Linked DNA regions of Lonchura striata. The protein of the gene in region 1 interacts with the protein of each later gene in a pairwise test. Links are inferred from orthologs where the notes say so. Each region holds a gene or a part of one and is shown on either strand. Other genes may lie near its edges.

Region 1 (6,917 bases):
GGTAAGACTCCCAGTGTAATTAGCTTCCATGCAGCAGGACACTCTGGAAGGAGATGGGGCATGCAACAAACACAGAATTATATAACATACAAATAAAACAAAGTGTTACAAAAGTTCTTATATAACATCTTACAAAACACTAAAACACTACACACCTAAAACATGTCTAACTCTTCTACTTTGCTGTGTTCAGGCTGAGGGATCGAACTAGACACTTATGTAAGTTAGTTAGAATATTTTATTCATTCTTAGAAATCACAGCTAAGGCCCATATAGTAATGACTGAATGCAACATTGCTGGAATACTTTCCAACATTCTAAGGCTTCAATTCTGAAAGCTATTTGCATGAAGAACAACAACATATGCAGCTTACAGAACTGCAGCCTGTGTGTATTACCTACAGGACAGGATGCCACCCAGAGGGACCTGGACAAGCTCAAGAAGTGGGCCCTTGTCTCATGAGGTTAAATGAGACAAAGTGCAAGGTGCTGCACTTAGATTGGAGCAACTCCTGGTACCAGCACAGGCTGGGGGATGAGCAGATCAAGAGCAGCCCTGCCACAAAGGACTTGGGAGTGCTGTGAATAGGAGGCTGGATGTGACCCAGCAATGTGTGCCCACAGCCCAGAGAGCCAGCTGTGTCCTGGGCTGTACCCAGAGCAGCATGGCCAGCAGGGCAAGGGAGGGGATTCTACCCATCTCTTCCTCTCTCATGGGACCTCACCAGCAGTGCTGCATTCAGCTCTGGGGTCCCCAGCTCAGGGCAGACATGGACTTGTTGGAGTCTGTCCAGTGGAGGCCGCCAAATTGATTATAAGGATGAAGCACATCTATGAGGAAAGGCTGACAGAATTGGGATTATTCAGCCTGGAAAAGAGACAGCTCCAGGGTGACCTAACTGCAGCCTCCAGTACCTGAAGGGAACTTCCACAAAAGATGGAGAAGGACTTTTTATGAAGAGCATGTAGTGACAGGACACAGAGGAATGGTTTTAAACTGAAAGAGCACAGCTTTAGATTAGCTACTATAAAAAAATTCTTTACTTGGAGAGTGGTAAAACACTGGAACAGGTTCCCCAGAGAAGCTGTGGATGACCCATCCCTGGAGTGTTCAAGGTCAGGTGGGATGGAGCTCTTAGCAACCTGGTCTAGTGGAAGGTGTCCTGCCCACAGCACAGGGGCTGGAAATAGATGATTTTTAAGGTTTCTTCCAGCTCAGACAGTTCTATGATTCTATAATCTACCTGCTATCCAGTCAGAGAAGATTGTTTTTCTGCTATAGCTCTCTAGTGCTGATATTAAAGTTATGAGAAAAAAACACCAAGAGGAAACATCAAGACAGGCAGCCCTGTTTTCTTAATGGCTTTGAAGTTATGAAGGGAAATCAGAAAATTGTGAAACTGAAAAGATTGAATACTGTCCTTCACTGTTTTCAGCAGCCCATGAAGATGAAGACCTTCACTAATGAGGCTCTTCTCCTTTAGACAACTGCAGAACCAGAAAATTCCCCCCTTGCTGGTGAAAATTTCTTGCTATAGGAGAAAAGTGAGGAAAAGGAACAAGAGAAATGCAAGAGAAAAAGGAGGACACAGAAGAATTGGTTGACAGAGGAATTCTGGTATACACCTGTGTTCTTGTGTTGCTTGTTCAAGTGTATAATCCTGCTGCTACTGAATTACATGTTTTGTTTTCGACAGGAAGTCTACTGGTTATGCAAATAATTTTTTGCAAAAAACTTATTTTGCAAATAATGGTTTGCAAATAATTTTTAAAGTTTCCTTTTAGAAGCAAAAATTTTATAGCTTTTAGGCTACAAAACTTTATGTCTTCAGGCCACACAAAACAGAGATCCCTCAACAAGAAGGACTTATGTCATAGTTTGCCCACAGAATTAATAACACTTTGAACATCTTATTGTCAGGCTACTCAACTATACACATCTGAGAAGACTGCCAGAACTGGGCAAAAACACACTGTGGCTTAACCTCAGCCCATCTAGTTAAACTGTCCACAGGAATTCAGTGTCCATCCATGAAGATTTAAACCTGATGCTTTCAAACTACTTTGTCAACCATAGAACAGGAACAAATCCTGCTTCCTATTTTATGACTGCACAGCTCATATAATAACAAGTTCAGAGATGTCCTGTCTTAAAGTTCCAGGGTACAGGCAGCATCCATGAACATATGGAAAGCAGAGCTCTCCTGCAGAAATCTGCAACATCACATGGAATGTAAACTGAAGGAAAAAAGCAGCAAACTGTCTCTGGGTGAACACTCCCATCTTACCCAGTTAGTTTTCCATAGCACTGCTTGCACACCTTCTGCTGAGTGTTCCCACAGCGGGGAACAACAGCACTGAAGCTCCGGCAGGCCGAGCAGAAGGAGCGTCCGCAGCTCTTGCAGCCACACTGCAGAGACAGGAGAGAGGGGCACCACAGGGCTTCAGCACCTCGCCACCACACTGGTGCCGCCGGCGGGCACAGTGCCCGTGCCGAGGCACACACAAAATAGTGCTGGGGTTATGCTGATTTTCATGTGATAGAACTGTTTCACCAGCTGCTGCTGAAGATATGGAGACTCAAGAACCTTGGAGCACCAGCAGATAACTCCTGCTGGGAGCAGAGTCACCACTTCACCCTATAGTATAGCAAAGTGTGTGTGTGTGAATTGTCTGAGATCATGCCAGAATCCTGGGTGAGAGGGACGGCATTCAATGACTTTTTGGTTTTTTGGTCAGTAATGTCTCATATCTGAAGACATATCGGAATTAGTCACACGAGAGCTCAGTACCCAGGGCAACATCGCCGGGAAGCTGGCCGGGAAGCGTGTCTCGGCGCCGGGCGAAGCAGTCCCCGGTTCCCTTCTCAGACCCTCGCCCGGCGGGGGAGGAACCCGCGGGACCGGCCCGTTCCTGACCCCCCGCAGCCGGACTTGCCTCTTTCTTGAAGACAGAGAACTTGGACGCACACCCATAGCACCGGCTATCCATGGCGCTACCGCCCCAGCCCGCCCTCAGGCACGGCGCTGCACCCCCGCTATCCCAAGCTCCATGGTCTCTCCGGGGCTGCGGCTGCCTCAGGCCCAAGGATCGGTGGCGAGCGGGGATGCCACAAGCCAGGAGCCGGGGACGCCACCCTCCCGTCCACACAACACAGAGCTGGCGACGCACGGCCCTACGGGAGTTGTAGTCCCTTGCTTCTCCCTTCCCGCCTTCAGATGCTAGGTGGCTCTCCACAAATAAACTACACTACCCAGAGCTCCACACGATCCCAGTGCCTGGCCGGCTCGGCTACCATCGCCGCGCGATGCATTGTGGTACATGCAGTCTGGTGCCCCTGCCCACCATGGCCCAGGGGGCATTAGCTGTTCTTGGGTGTTAATAAAACAAGAAAGTGTATTCTCTAAGGCTGACAGTGTTGCGCTCAAGCTGCTCTGTGATTTTTTTGTTTTTCGTCCTAAACCTTTGGTGAGATCCTGGCTCAGAATAGCAAAAATCAGCTGAACTGCAAAATTCAAGTTATCTCCAGCCCATCCTTCTGCCAGTGTTGATCCGCCTGCCCTCAGGAGTTAAATGTCTTGCAGTGTTTGCAGAAAGAGTCACGGAGTGCAAATGAGTCATCCTGTTAACCGCGTGGGTTTGCAGGTACATTGTGCATTCTTTCCAGTTTAATATATAACCCCACGTTGTAAAGACATACACAATTAAATTAGGAAATGGACTGATTTATTCAAGGAAGTAAAACTCATTAATATCTGAATAAAGCTAAGTTTAAAGGGGGAAAATAGAGGGTTCTCTCTCACTCTTTCAATTTTGGCATTTGTTTGCCACAATTTTTTTGGGTTTTTTGTTTGGTTAGGTTTTTTAATGGTAAAAAACATTAGAAAGACAAGTGGAAGCTAAACTTCGTACCTGTCCAGCAATTGTGTTAGACACCACACGGGCATTCCAGGTATTGTAGGCATAAAGCAGGGACTTGAGACAAATATTAACTCAAATAAAAAGCTTCATTGTCTTTGCTATTGAGCTGCTCAATGGGAAAACAGGAACAGGAGACTTCAATCTTGATGTTACAGTGCAACCTACCGACTTGCAGGTGCAATTTGGCGTGCAGCTCTCGTAGAGAAAATACATCTCCGTGCCAGCGCGCCGCGGAGACGCCGCTCTCTCACCCGGCTGCAGAAGCTGCGCTACACGCTCCCGTGCCCGTGCCCGCTCCCGTGCCCGTGCCCGTTCCCATTCCCGTGCCCGTGCCCGTTCCCATTCCCGTTCCCGTTCCCGTTCCCGTTCCCGTTCCCGTTGCCGTTGCCGTTCCCTCTCCCGTGCCCGTGCCCGCTCCCGTGCCCGTGCCCGTGCCCGTGCCCGTTCCCGTGCCCGTGCCCGTTCCCATTCCCGTGCCCGTTGCCGTTGCCGTTGCCGTTCCCTCTCCCGTGCCCGCTCCCGTTCCCGCTCCCGTGCCCGTTCCCGCTCCCGTGCCCGTTCCCATTCCCGTGCCCGTTCCCATTCCCGTGCCCGTTCCCGCTCCCGTGCCCGTTCCCGTCCCCGTTCCCGCTCCCGGCCGGTGTCCGCCAGAGGGGGCCCGGTCCCCGCCGTTCTCCGGCTGCCGAGCCGAAAGCCAGTTGGCAGCAGAGCAGCAGCAGAGCAGCAGCAGCTTTCCTTTAATTTCTGTTTTTTGACCGCGGATGTTTCCCTTGGTAAAGCGAACTCGGTTATAAAATCCTATGTGCCTACTTAGCCTATGAGGTTTTCAATTCTATTTGAAGTGCAGGAGAGATTAAATGGGGTTTGGATTGTGTGTCTTCTTGCCAAACTCAGTTTTGCACAGTAAATTTTACATTCTCTGTACTACATAGTTATAGCTACTCTGCTCTGGGCAGCTTCCACCTGGAGTCCTTCATCCGGTCTGGAGTCCTCAGCACAGAAAAGACAAGGACCTGTTGGAGCATATCCAGAAGAGGACCACAAAGATGATTAGGAAGCTGGATCACCTTTCCTATGAGGACATGCTGAGGGAGTCAGGTCGAGTTGAGTCAAGAGATGAGAGGGCTCTGGGGAGACCTTATTGCAGCCTTTCATACGTATAGGGGGCTTATATGAGATGGGAATAAGAATTTTAGCAGGGCCTGTTGTGACAGGACAAGGGACAATGGTTTTGAACTAAAGTAGGGTTGATTTAGACTAGCTATAAGGAAAAAGTTTTTATGTGTGGGTGGTGAGACACTGCAACAGGTTGCCCAGGGAGGTGGTGGATGCCCCATCTCTGGAAACATTCAAGGTCAGGTGGGATGGGGCTCTGAGCAACTTGGTCTAGTTGAAGATGATTGCTTATTGCAGGGATTTGGACTAGGTGACCTTTTCATGTCCCTTTCAACCCAAACTATTCTATTATTCAATAACCAGGGTTGTAGTCATGCAAGCAAGTGTCATCTCAACCACAGTTATTTGTTTATGTAAGGGAAATGTATTTTAAATTAAAAACAAAAATAGACCTATGAGTTGTACATTTTTGTGTGCTTCTGTAATGCTTTATTCCAGGCTGTTTTTCTCCTGCAGCAATAATTGACAAATCTCTATTCTGGTTCTTACAGCCTACAAAAGCATAGCACTCAAAGGCTCTGATTCGCCTCCCAGGCAGGAACCAGGACAGTCTCAAAGCAGGTAAAAAATGAATACATGGACACAAACACTCTTACTTCTTCCACACACACAGGCCTATGGAAGTGCTTCTCTCTTTAGAAACATCTGGTTTTGTATGCAATTAAGGTAATACCTGTTTGTGTCATGAGTTATGTACATCTCTGGGAATGTATATATTCCTCACTGCTAGATTCCTCTGTGTTTTATGGTTAAATACTTACATTTTAGATTTAAATAGTGTGTTAAGTGACTGCTGAACTTTAATATTAGAACTTCTGAAAATCCTCCTATTGTACTATTTGAGTCCTAAACTTTTGACTATACTGTCCCTTGTGTCTACTAGCTGATTACTCTTCCTTCATATAGTTCAGAATATGAGTGTATTTATACATGGGCAATGTTCTACTTAAAACCATATTTCTAGTGCAAGACCAGTATTCCTGTATGTGGTATATTGCTTTTGCTCTTTTACCAAGTATGAGTAAACATCTAAAACATTGCACATCTGAAGAGCTCCACATCAGATTGAGGGGAGGCAATCTAAAGTAATACTCAAGTACAAAGCTGTTCAGCACTGTCTGTTTAAAACAGGGACCCGTTCAACTTTGTTATATAATGAGAGTTGTCATGGGGTTGTTACTTTTGCACCTCCATCAAAGTCCTCAGATTCAAGGAGAAGAATTAGCATTTTTGCAGTCTGAAGCTGAGCTTAAAAATAGAAGTAGATTTTAATTTTCTGACATACTGATGAAATGGTTACATTCTCCAAAATTATGCCAATCTAAATTGTGAGCCAAATTAAATGAAGGAATGCTTTTTATAGCCGGAAGATTTGAGCTTTTAAGAAATACAAATATTTGTTGCCTGCTGTGCTTGCACTTTCCCACCATGATGCAAGAAAGCTCTAAACCCTGACATCCACAACTTATCAATTATCATTCTTCTGTGGGTGAAAATTAACCAGTGCCTAAAAAGCAAAACATTACAGATCTTAAACCCATCCCCCCTGCTGCTACAAAGTCATCATAATTAAAAATTGTTTTGGTTGCACCAGGAAAGCAAATTGGCAATTTCTATGTGCTCTTCTTCGCGAAGACATAATTTCAGCAAAATATTTTATTATTCATTATGGGTTTTCATCTCCCAGTTTGGCATTAGTATTTAATTCTGAATACATCAAGTCAAGGCAAAGTGTTAGGTGTTTACAATGGTAATTTCTTTCTCCACTCCAGCTATCTCTTTAGAGGAGGAGGATTTCTCTCTACAGACAAGGTACTTCA
Region 2 (7,989 bases), on another chromosome or scaffold:
TAAAAAATAATCTAATTTCTTACAAGAACGGAGCAAGCACACAACACAGTAAAGGTAAAAGCTGAAAAATATATGACCTCAGTCAAACTACAATTAGCAAGTATCAACTGTTGACGAGGGCAAAAATTTAAATACTGATGTCAACATAAGAGAATACTCTTGTGCAATCTGACGACTAAACTTTACTTAATCATCCAACACATCACACTTACATTTAACAACATGGATAAAATACTGCACGGCATGTTGGTACAAGCGGAAGGCTTCCTCATAGTTTCCTGCTTTATCTTCTTGTGCTGCCTTGCTAGCAAGGTCTATTGCTTTCTGTAACACAAACAAATAATTAATTGCTGTACAAGAGCATTTTCCATGATCAGAGACCATTTAAGCTGTTACTGTCATTTGACGGCCAGTTTTTCTGCTCCTCAACATTTATCCCCTCAGAGTTGAAGGCAATTGATTGTCATAGGTAGTGTTTTGTACAAAACACAATATTTCCATCCTTTTATGAACAGCATGATTTACAACCTGCTGAAATTTACTAGCACACAAAAAAGCACACGTGAGAAGAAGTTTCTGTGTACTAAGCTGGAACTACTACTACTACTATGCAGTCTGTCTTGCCAAACTCTTGCACTTATTATGAAAAAATCTGGAAATCCATTGTAAGGCTTGGGGTTTTTTTATTACAGACATAGAAACTTTGAACTATGATACAGATATGCTGTTTTAAGGCATGGTTCAGGGGTGCACTTGACAGCGCTGGGTTAATGGCTGGACTCAAATCTTTTCCAGCCTAAACAATTCTATGATCCTATGACTGATGACATCAGTAAACCCTGTAAACAGCAAAGTCAATACAGGAAGTAGCTGATTACAACCACTGAAACTAGCACTATCACTCTTCAAACATTATGCTGGGAGACATCTTCAAAGACCAGTTGCTTGGCTTCTCCAGGAGGATTCGGACTCTTGATATCTTAGTGAGAAATTCTAATTATCATTCCAGTGGGAGAGGAGAAAAAAAAGCTCAAAACAGACAGAGAACATACCCAAATCTCAAGCATCAAAGAGTTCTATGAGAAACTATGAATGGATTTTTACTTTATTTGTTCAGTTATTTTCAAGTAAATCTGACTGAGATCTAAGCACACACTGCCTTGTGGATTTATTGTATCACCACTATTCCGTTGCTCACTCCTAAGTGCTTATTACTTTTTATTACACTTTACTCCTTGGAATGACCATACCATTTCCAGACAATTAAAACTGTCATTTTGACCACTGGCTCATGTAAGTTGAAAATAAGCAGTCAGCCAGTTAACCAACACCAACTAAATAGTCTATAATCCTTCATCTATTTTTTCCCATGTGGTTCCCTTTCCTAAGCATTGCTCAGGATGATTATGTAACGCCAGGGAGCAATGTTGAGAGTTTGAGCTGCAGCAAGGAGTTTCCATTAGACATTCCAGTACAGATATTCTTGCCACTACCTACACTCTGCTGTTTCAGGCAGAACAAAGCTAGTAAACAATAGCCATGAAAAAAACAGCAAAATCTTGCATTCTATTGCTTTGTGTTGATGTCTTGGAAGCAAAGATCATCTCAACAGATCTACTTGACATTAAAGGTATTTAAAAGCAATGAACCAATTAAACAGACTATGGCTCTGTTGTGGCAAGTGCTGGAGCACTTTAACATCTGTTTCTTTGGAACAGAAGCTAAGTCTTTCCTTCTTGGAGAGGCTGGGAGCTCAAGAGCAGTTTCCCAGGTATGAATGGACAGCTACCTCCTTGCTGCCCATTTTATGCTGACTCCCTTACGCATATCTGTGCACCATTCAAATCTAGCAACAGAGCAAAAATTAACCCCCCAAAATGTTATTTTCATATTAAAGTTCTTAAGTCTCATTAGCGACTTTAATTACTATGGGATAGCCCAGTAATTCCTGGATTCAGTATAAGAAAGACAGGTGACATTAATTCCAAAGAATAAATGTCAAAGATCGTGTGCTAAAACAGAACGGTGAGAAAACAGGGCATGTCACAAACCTGTTGCTCTGAAATCGGCAAAAGTCTGCATCATGTACTGCCTGGTTTTGCTACACTCTCTTTTTGTAAACAGCCAAAGACTATTACCTGGCTATTAGATTCTCAGCTCTAATACTTCATTACATCAGCTGCACCTTAGCCTGTTACTGTGAAGAACATCACTGCTATCAAACAGAAAATCATTATTAGAAAGCTGTATGAACTAGGGCATAGATGACCAGTTCTAACTATGCCTAAGGCACAAACTACGTTTATCGGCCATGGGCTTATAGTTTGATGAACATCCCCCAAGGAAAGAATGTCAGTTTAAAGAGGTGTCATTCTTCTGCTTATTATAAATCCTGTAACATCTCCTCCAGCTTTGCCAATGCAAACATCACACTGCCAGTGTAAACACCGCATACAGAAACGATCACGGTTCAAACAGCCGAAGAGAAAAAGGGGCTCTTTGGAACGCAGTTATTTCACTTCGGGGTCTGTTTCGCCGGCCAGCCTCAGCACCGATCGCACCCCCGCAGCCGAGGGTTCACACAAGCGGAACAGCAGAGCAGGCAAGGGCTTCCTACAGCCACCAGGAGCCTTACGGCAACACAAGCCAAGCCACGCGTCCCGAGCACAAGAGGCAACAGCGCTTCCCGGGCGAGCACCAGGCCTCGCTGCCCGTGTCCCGCGGGGCTGGGACGCCCTCCCCGGGACGAGGAGGGCTGACCCCGTGGGCTCTGCCCCCCGAGCAGTCCCCCCACCGCGGTGCCCGCGGCCCGCTGAGCAGAGGCGTCCGCGCTCCCTGCGCCCCGGAACACTCCCGGCCCGGGAACCCCGGGCCCCGCTCCTTCCCGGCGCCGCCCCCCGCCGCCGCCGCCGGCCGGGCCCGCCCCGCGCGGGCAGGGCCGGCGCCGCTGTACCTGCAGGTTGCCGGTGTTGGCCGCCATGGCGGAGCGGCAGGGGAGGGCAGGGAGCGGGGGGAGAGTGGCGCGGGAGCGGGCCCGGCTGCCGGTGGCGCAGCGCCGCCGCCCCGCCGCCCGCGGAGCCCGAACCGCGGCCTCCGCCGCCGCTTCCGCCCCGAGCGCCGCTTCCGCTTCCGCCTCCGCTTCCGGGCACGCCCCGAGCGCCCGGCCCGCCCCGGCCGCGGCGCTGCCCGGGCCGCGCTCGCCCGCTGGGGCTTGGGCTTGGAACGCGGCTCTTGGAGCCTCCTGTGCAATCCCGCTGGGATCTCTCCACAGGAGAGCCCACGGCCTCCCTGGGCAGCCGGTCCCAGGGCTCGGCCACCCTCAACGTGAGGTTCTTCCTCATGTTGGGGTGCGGCTAACCGTGCTTTAGTTCGTGGCCGCTGCTCCCCGTCCTGTCGCTGGGCACCACCAAAAAGAGTCTGGCACCGTCCTCTTGGCACCTGCCTTGGGGATATTTATATGCATTAAATAAGATCTCCTCTCAGTCCTCTTTTCTCCGGATTAAACAGGCCCAATCCTGTCTAATCAAGCATGACAGTGTCATGGGCAAGTGTCACTCGCCCGTGGGTTCGTGACAAAGATCAGTTGACGTGCGATGCTTATAGAGTGGGGAGGAGGAAGTGACTCAACACGCAAGCAATTACGAACCAGTTCTGGAAAGCCAACTTGCTGTATGGATGCAGGGATATCTGCTAAATAAGTGCCATATCTTTCCCTCTGGTACATTAATTTCTTCAGGGCAAAAAAAGTATCTGGCAAACTCAACTGCAATAAAACCCGTTCTTCCAAATACCTTCAAGTTATCACAGTGCAGCTTTAACTTAATAATTCCAATGTAACTTTTTTGATTTTATTTTGTAATAAAAGGTCTCTGAACCTTTTTGATATAGTCAAGTAGGCTGTATACTCTGGGCATACAAGGGAAAAAGGCACATTCACAGTTCCCCCTGTACCAGGGAAGGTCGTGGTGAATCTCTTCACTATGTTGTCTGGCTGGCAGTTTATTTTGGTAAGTGTCCTCACGAGTTGAGGATGCTTTGGTTGATTTTTAGATGTTGTCAATAACAGCTGTTCTCCTTGGATTGACTGCAAATGTGTAAAGACATGATGTAGGAAAGACTAGGTCATGTAATCAGGCTTTGGGAAATGAAATGGTAAAGAGGGTTTGCTACTAAAGACAACTGAAATTGGTCAAATTAGAAGGAGAGATGATGATTTCTAAAGGAACCTTACAGCTGTGTGGTCATCAGGATTCAAGCATAGCATCAGTGGTGGGAGGGGCTCAAGGGTTAAATATTGTATACCCATTTCTTTCTTATTCCATCTTCAAAGGATGAGGCGAAACCATTCCTTTCACTCTTTCATGGTTGATTATGCCATAATGAAGCCTTTGGGCTATTTTTAACCTTCTTTTTATTTAAAACAAGCTACTTCCTTGAGTATCATTTCCTTTTTGGCTTTACCTTCTCATTCTGGTTGGTGTAACAGAGTATTTTCAGATATGTTCCTGATGCTAGTAATTCTGTGTCATCTGTACCTATGATTTTTAATTCTTTGATGTTATATTTAGGTTTTAGACTGAGGTCTAAAACAATACGTACCTCACAAGAGTGTAAGTATGCCTCTCCTGCCACACTGAACTGGCTTCCAGAAAAAATGACTGGTTTCTGCAAATGTGATTAAAGAAAGTAAATCAGGAAAGGCACCTCTGTAATTTACAGATAACAGGCTAAACTTTGCAGCCCTTACTTAAGTCTTACTCATACAATATTCCTGCTATGATTTGACTTTGCAGCTAGTTTTGCCTGAGGAAAGACTAGATGAATGCTGAGTAATGACATCAAGATTATTTCTTGAGAAGCTAATGAAGTGTCATGTTAAGGGCATTACTTCCATTTGAGGAACAACTACAGCCGCATTATCTAATACTTCCCAGTGCTGAAGTTCCTTTGTTACTATATTCTAAGAATGACAAGTGTAATGAAAATAAAGCATATTAAAGGTGTTAATATGGGTACCTACTGGGCTCAACTAAGTCCATCCCATAACTACCTGGGGCATTATTGCTCACATTGCTATGGCATTACGTGGCACAGGTACTGATGATCTGTGTTTCCTAAGGCTGAGTAAGCTGTTGTGGAGAATGCTTCCTGCTGCCATGCCTTGGATTGGAGGGAAGGGGCCTACACTTCACCTTGCCTGGTCACCTTGGGCCAAGAGTAAGTAGATGGATGCATCAACTAGATAGATCATGTGTCTGCAGCACAACCAGGTGTCGTATCTATGATTCTCCTCCGCCGTGGCAGCTGAGGAGTGGCTAGAGATGACTAATGTTACCATCAGAGTGAGATTGGCATCAGCTAAATGACGTGAGAGCCATGCAGGTAAGGGAAGTCACTGCCTCAGAGACCTTTACAGTGCAGACAGACAAGGCAGAGAAGGCAGGAAAATATAGCCTTGTTTTCCTGTATTTCTTTACCAGATGAAATGATGATGAATCTGGTCAGATCAATCTGACCTAGGTAACAAAGGCTGTCAGTAGCAACACTAAGAAGTAAAATTCAGATTGTCCAAATTCCATTGTGGCACCTCGATCCTGTTTGGTGTACACATAATGAGCTCATGCACTTGGGACAGGACCTGCAGTGCACTCGTGGTGCAGCTGGGTCCCTTCTTTGAACCATGCTGGGCTGAAAAGCAGGAGCACTTCAAGCCACCAGCTGTGTTGGGGAACCTTTCTACCTGTTACGTAGTGCCTGGCCTGTGGGAGTCCTGCTGGGAGAATTGCAGGTGGATGGCTGCCATACATAACCCCTTTAATAGCACTGAAACCACAGCAGCCTTATGGAGGAGAGCTGTATCCTAAGAGCTCTTATTCCTAAAGCACTTGGTGCTTTGTGTGCAGAGAAGGTGTTGTGCAGCTATAGAGCTTAGGAGGGAAAGAATTAAAGCTGTGTTCAGGACCAGAAAGACTGACAACAAAATAAAGCCGTGTTACATTTATGGCATTAGAGACAAGAATGAGCTTTGGGGCAAAACTTGAAGCACTGGGTTTTGAGGAGTTCATGGTCATCCAACTCTGCCCCATCTCATGGGTCTGAGGTGGATGGTGACAATATTTCCTGCCATAGTACAGTAATGGGTGTGGCTGTGCCTACCTGGAAAAGAAAACTTAAATTTGTCACTTTTGAGCTAAACTCTTCATATTTTTTAGTTATGTTAATTTTCACTCTACTTCTATATACAAAATGTGTTGTCTTCTGGACTAAATTAGTTTATTCCAGCCAATGGAATGACTTAGGATGCATATTCCTGTAGTTCATAGTGAGATTAATCCAGCACAACATGAAAATAGCCTAAGAAAATGATTGCAGGTATAACTCAGGGCACATTTTGAAAACTGTTCATTTGATCTTTTGACAGAGTATAGAAATAGAAATGTGCTTATTTTCTTAAGTTGTGAAATATACAATCCACTTCTACTACTATGTTTTTTGAATGACATTTAGCATAGTGAATTTCAGGACTTTTTTCCTTACTGTTACGTGAGTACCAGCAGAAATTGTCATGAATAAAAATGAAATCTGAAACAGTATTTTTCTTAACTTCACATGTGTTATCTTCAAGGGCAATATTTGCCCTCTATGAGCATAAGGTTGGAGATTTCTGAGGTTTTTCTCATCTTGAACTCAGCGGATGGGGACACTCGTGGGCATTCTCTGTAGAGACCAAGGGCAAACAATTCACCTAAGTCTTTTCTGCATAGCATTTCATTTGTTAGGTCTTGATAACTTGTTGAAATTGAATGGAATAAAATCTCTTCAATTATGGTTTTTGTACAGTTGAGCAGACACGGCCTCAGGGATGTATCGGTTGACTCATTTTCATTTAAAATACACAATTTTGCCAGCTGGAAACTACCAGCCCTTTTAGACATATATGAGTTCAGGGATTTTGTGCTATGCATTGTTGAGTTTGGTGTAGCAGCATTTCTTTTTGAAACGTTTTCATAGTCACAGGACTTAACAGTCTTATATAGCCCTATTCACTTCAAGAGATTTTATTGTTAAAAGTTTAAAAAGTGCTCCCCAGCCAATGCTTCTTTGAGTTTAGAATGTTCGAGTTTGGACTGTGCGCTTCAGATTGCTTCATACTGCCTTCATTTAAAATTTTGATGACCTGTGGAATTATTGGAACAACTCCTAAGGATATTCTAGATGCTCTCATCAACTGGGGGTCTGTTTTGATCACTGCCAGATTTTTCAAAAATATATGGTCTAACCCAAAGAAAAATCATGAGTCTCATAAAATTGGTAGATCAGGTTCTACAATCTGTGTTATGAAAGGGTTCAAGCCAGCTGGTTGTCACAGCATGTGTCTCACTGTCTTAAAAAAGTCACAAATCTGTGAGTTGACCCAGATTTTCTTTCCATGAATCTCCTATGCAATAGAAAGTCTGTAGTGTTTACTGTTGCCAGAGTACCAGAAATCTGAATTGTATTAGGCAGGGAGAAGCATAAAAGCAGTTCTGCTCCAGTAGGTGCTTTTAAAAGTATTACCAGACTCCTCTAAACACATGACAGGGGAATAACTTTTGCCATTCCAATATACAGCAGAATAACTGAACTTGGCTGTTGCAAAACAAGGGATTCATCTGCATGAATAAGTTTTAAGGTTGATGAGCTGCCTCTGATGCTTCCAGGCTTACTTTTCATGCTACATTCAGAGTGGCTTTTGCCTGTATGACTGTAGAGAGCAGTGTTTCCAACAAAACTGAATGGCTTGTGGTCTGAATGATTAAAGTGATAAAGGGAAAGAGAGCTGGTCTGGGACTAGACTAGCTGTGAGCTACACTAGCAGTGTAGTCTGCACTAGATTTCTGGGCTAGAATTTCCTTACTGGATCCCTGTTTATTAACCCCTAAGCCTTTTAATTAGGTATGGAAAGGAGGAAAAACTGGATAGAGAGGTCATTTAATTTTCTCTTGATCC

The links.
Region 2: the proteins of ZFYVE19 (region 1) and VPS4B interact in binary tests that used the Homo sapiens proteins (3 or more experiments, as listed by UniProt). The two-hybrid records come from large-scale screens. The link is inferred for Lonchura striata from reciprocal best matches to the Homo sapiens genes ZFYVE19 and VPS4B.

The regions. Positions count from the first base shown.
Region 1 is NC_134608.1:37,895,276-37,902,192, forward strand, and holds the start of ZFYVE19 (abscission/NoCut checkpoint regulator), read right to left. Parts: upstream 3,099-6,917; 5' UTR 2,992-3,098; coding exon 2,938-2,991; intron 2,411-2,937; coding exon 2,289-2,410; intron 1-2,288. UniProt on the Homo sapiens protein: Key regulator of abscission step in cytokinesis: part of the cytokinesis checkpoint, a process required to delay abscission to prevent both premature resolution of intercellular chromosome bridges and accumulation of DNA damage.
Region 2 is NC_134603.1:96,375,746-96,383,734, reverse strand, and holds the start of VPS4B (vacuolar protein sorting-associated protein 4B), read right to left. Parts: upstream 3,102-7,989; 5' UTR 2,981-3,101; coding exon 2,954-2,980; intron 325-2,953; coding exon 213-324; intron 1-212.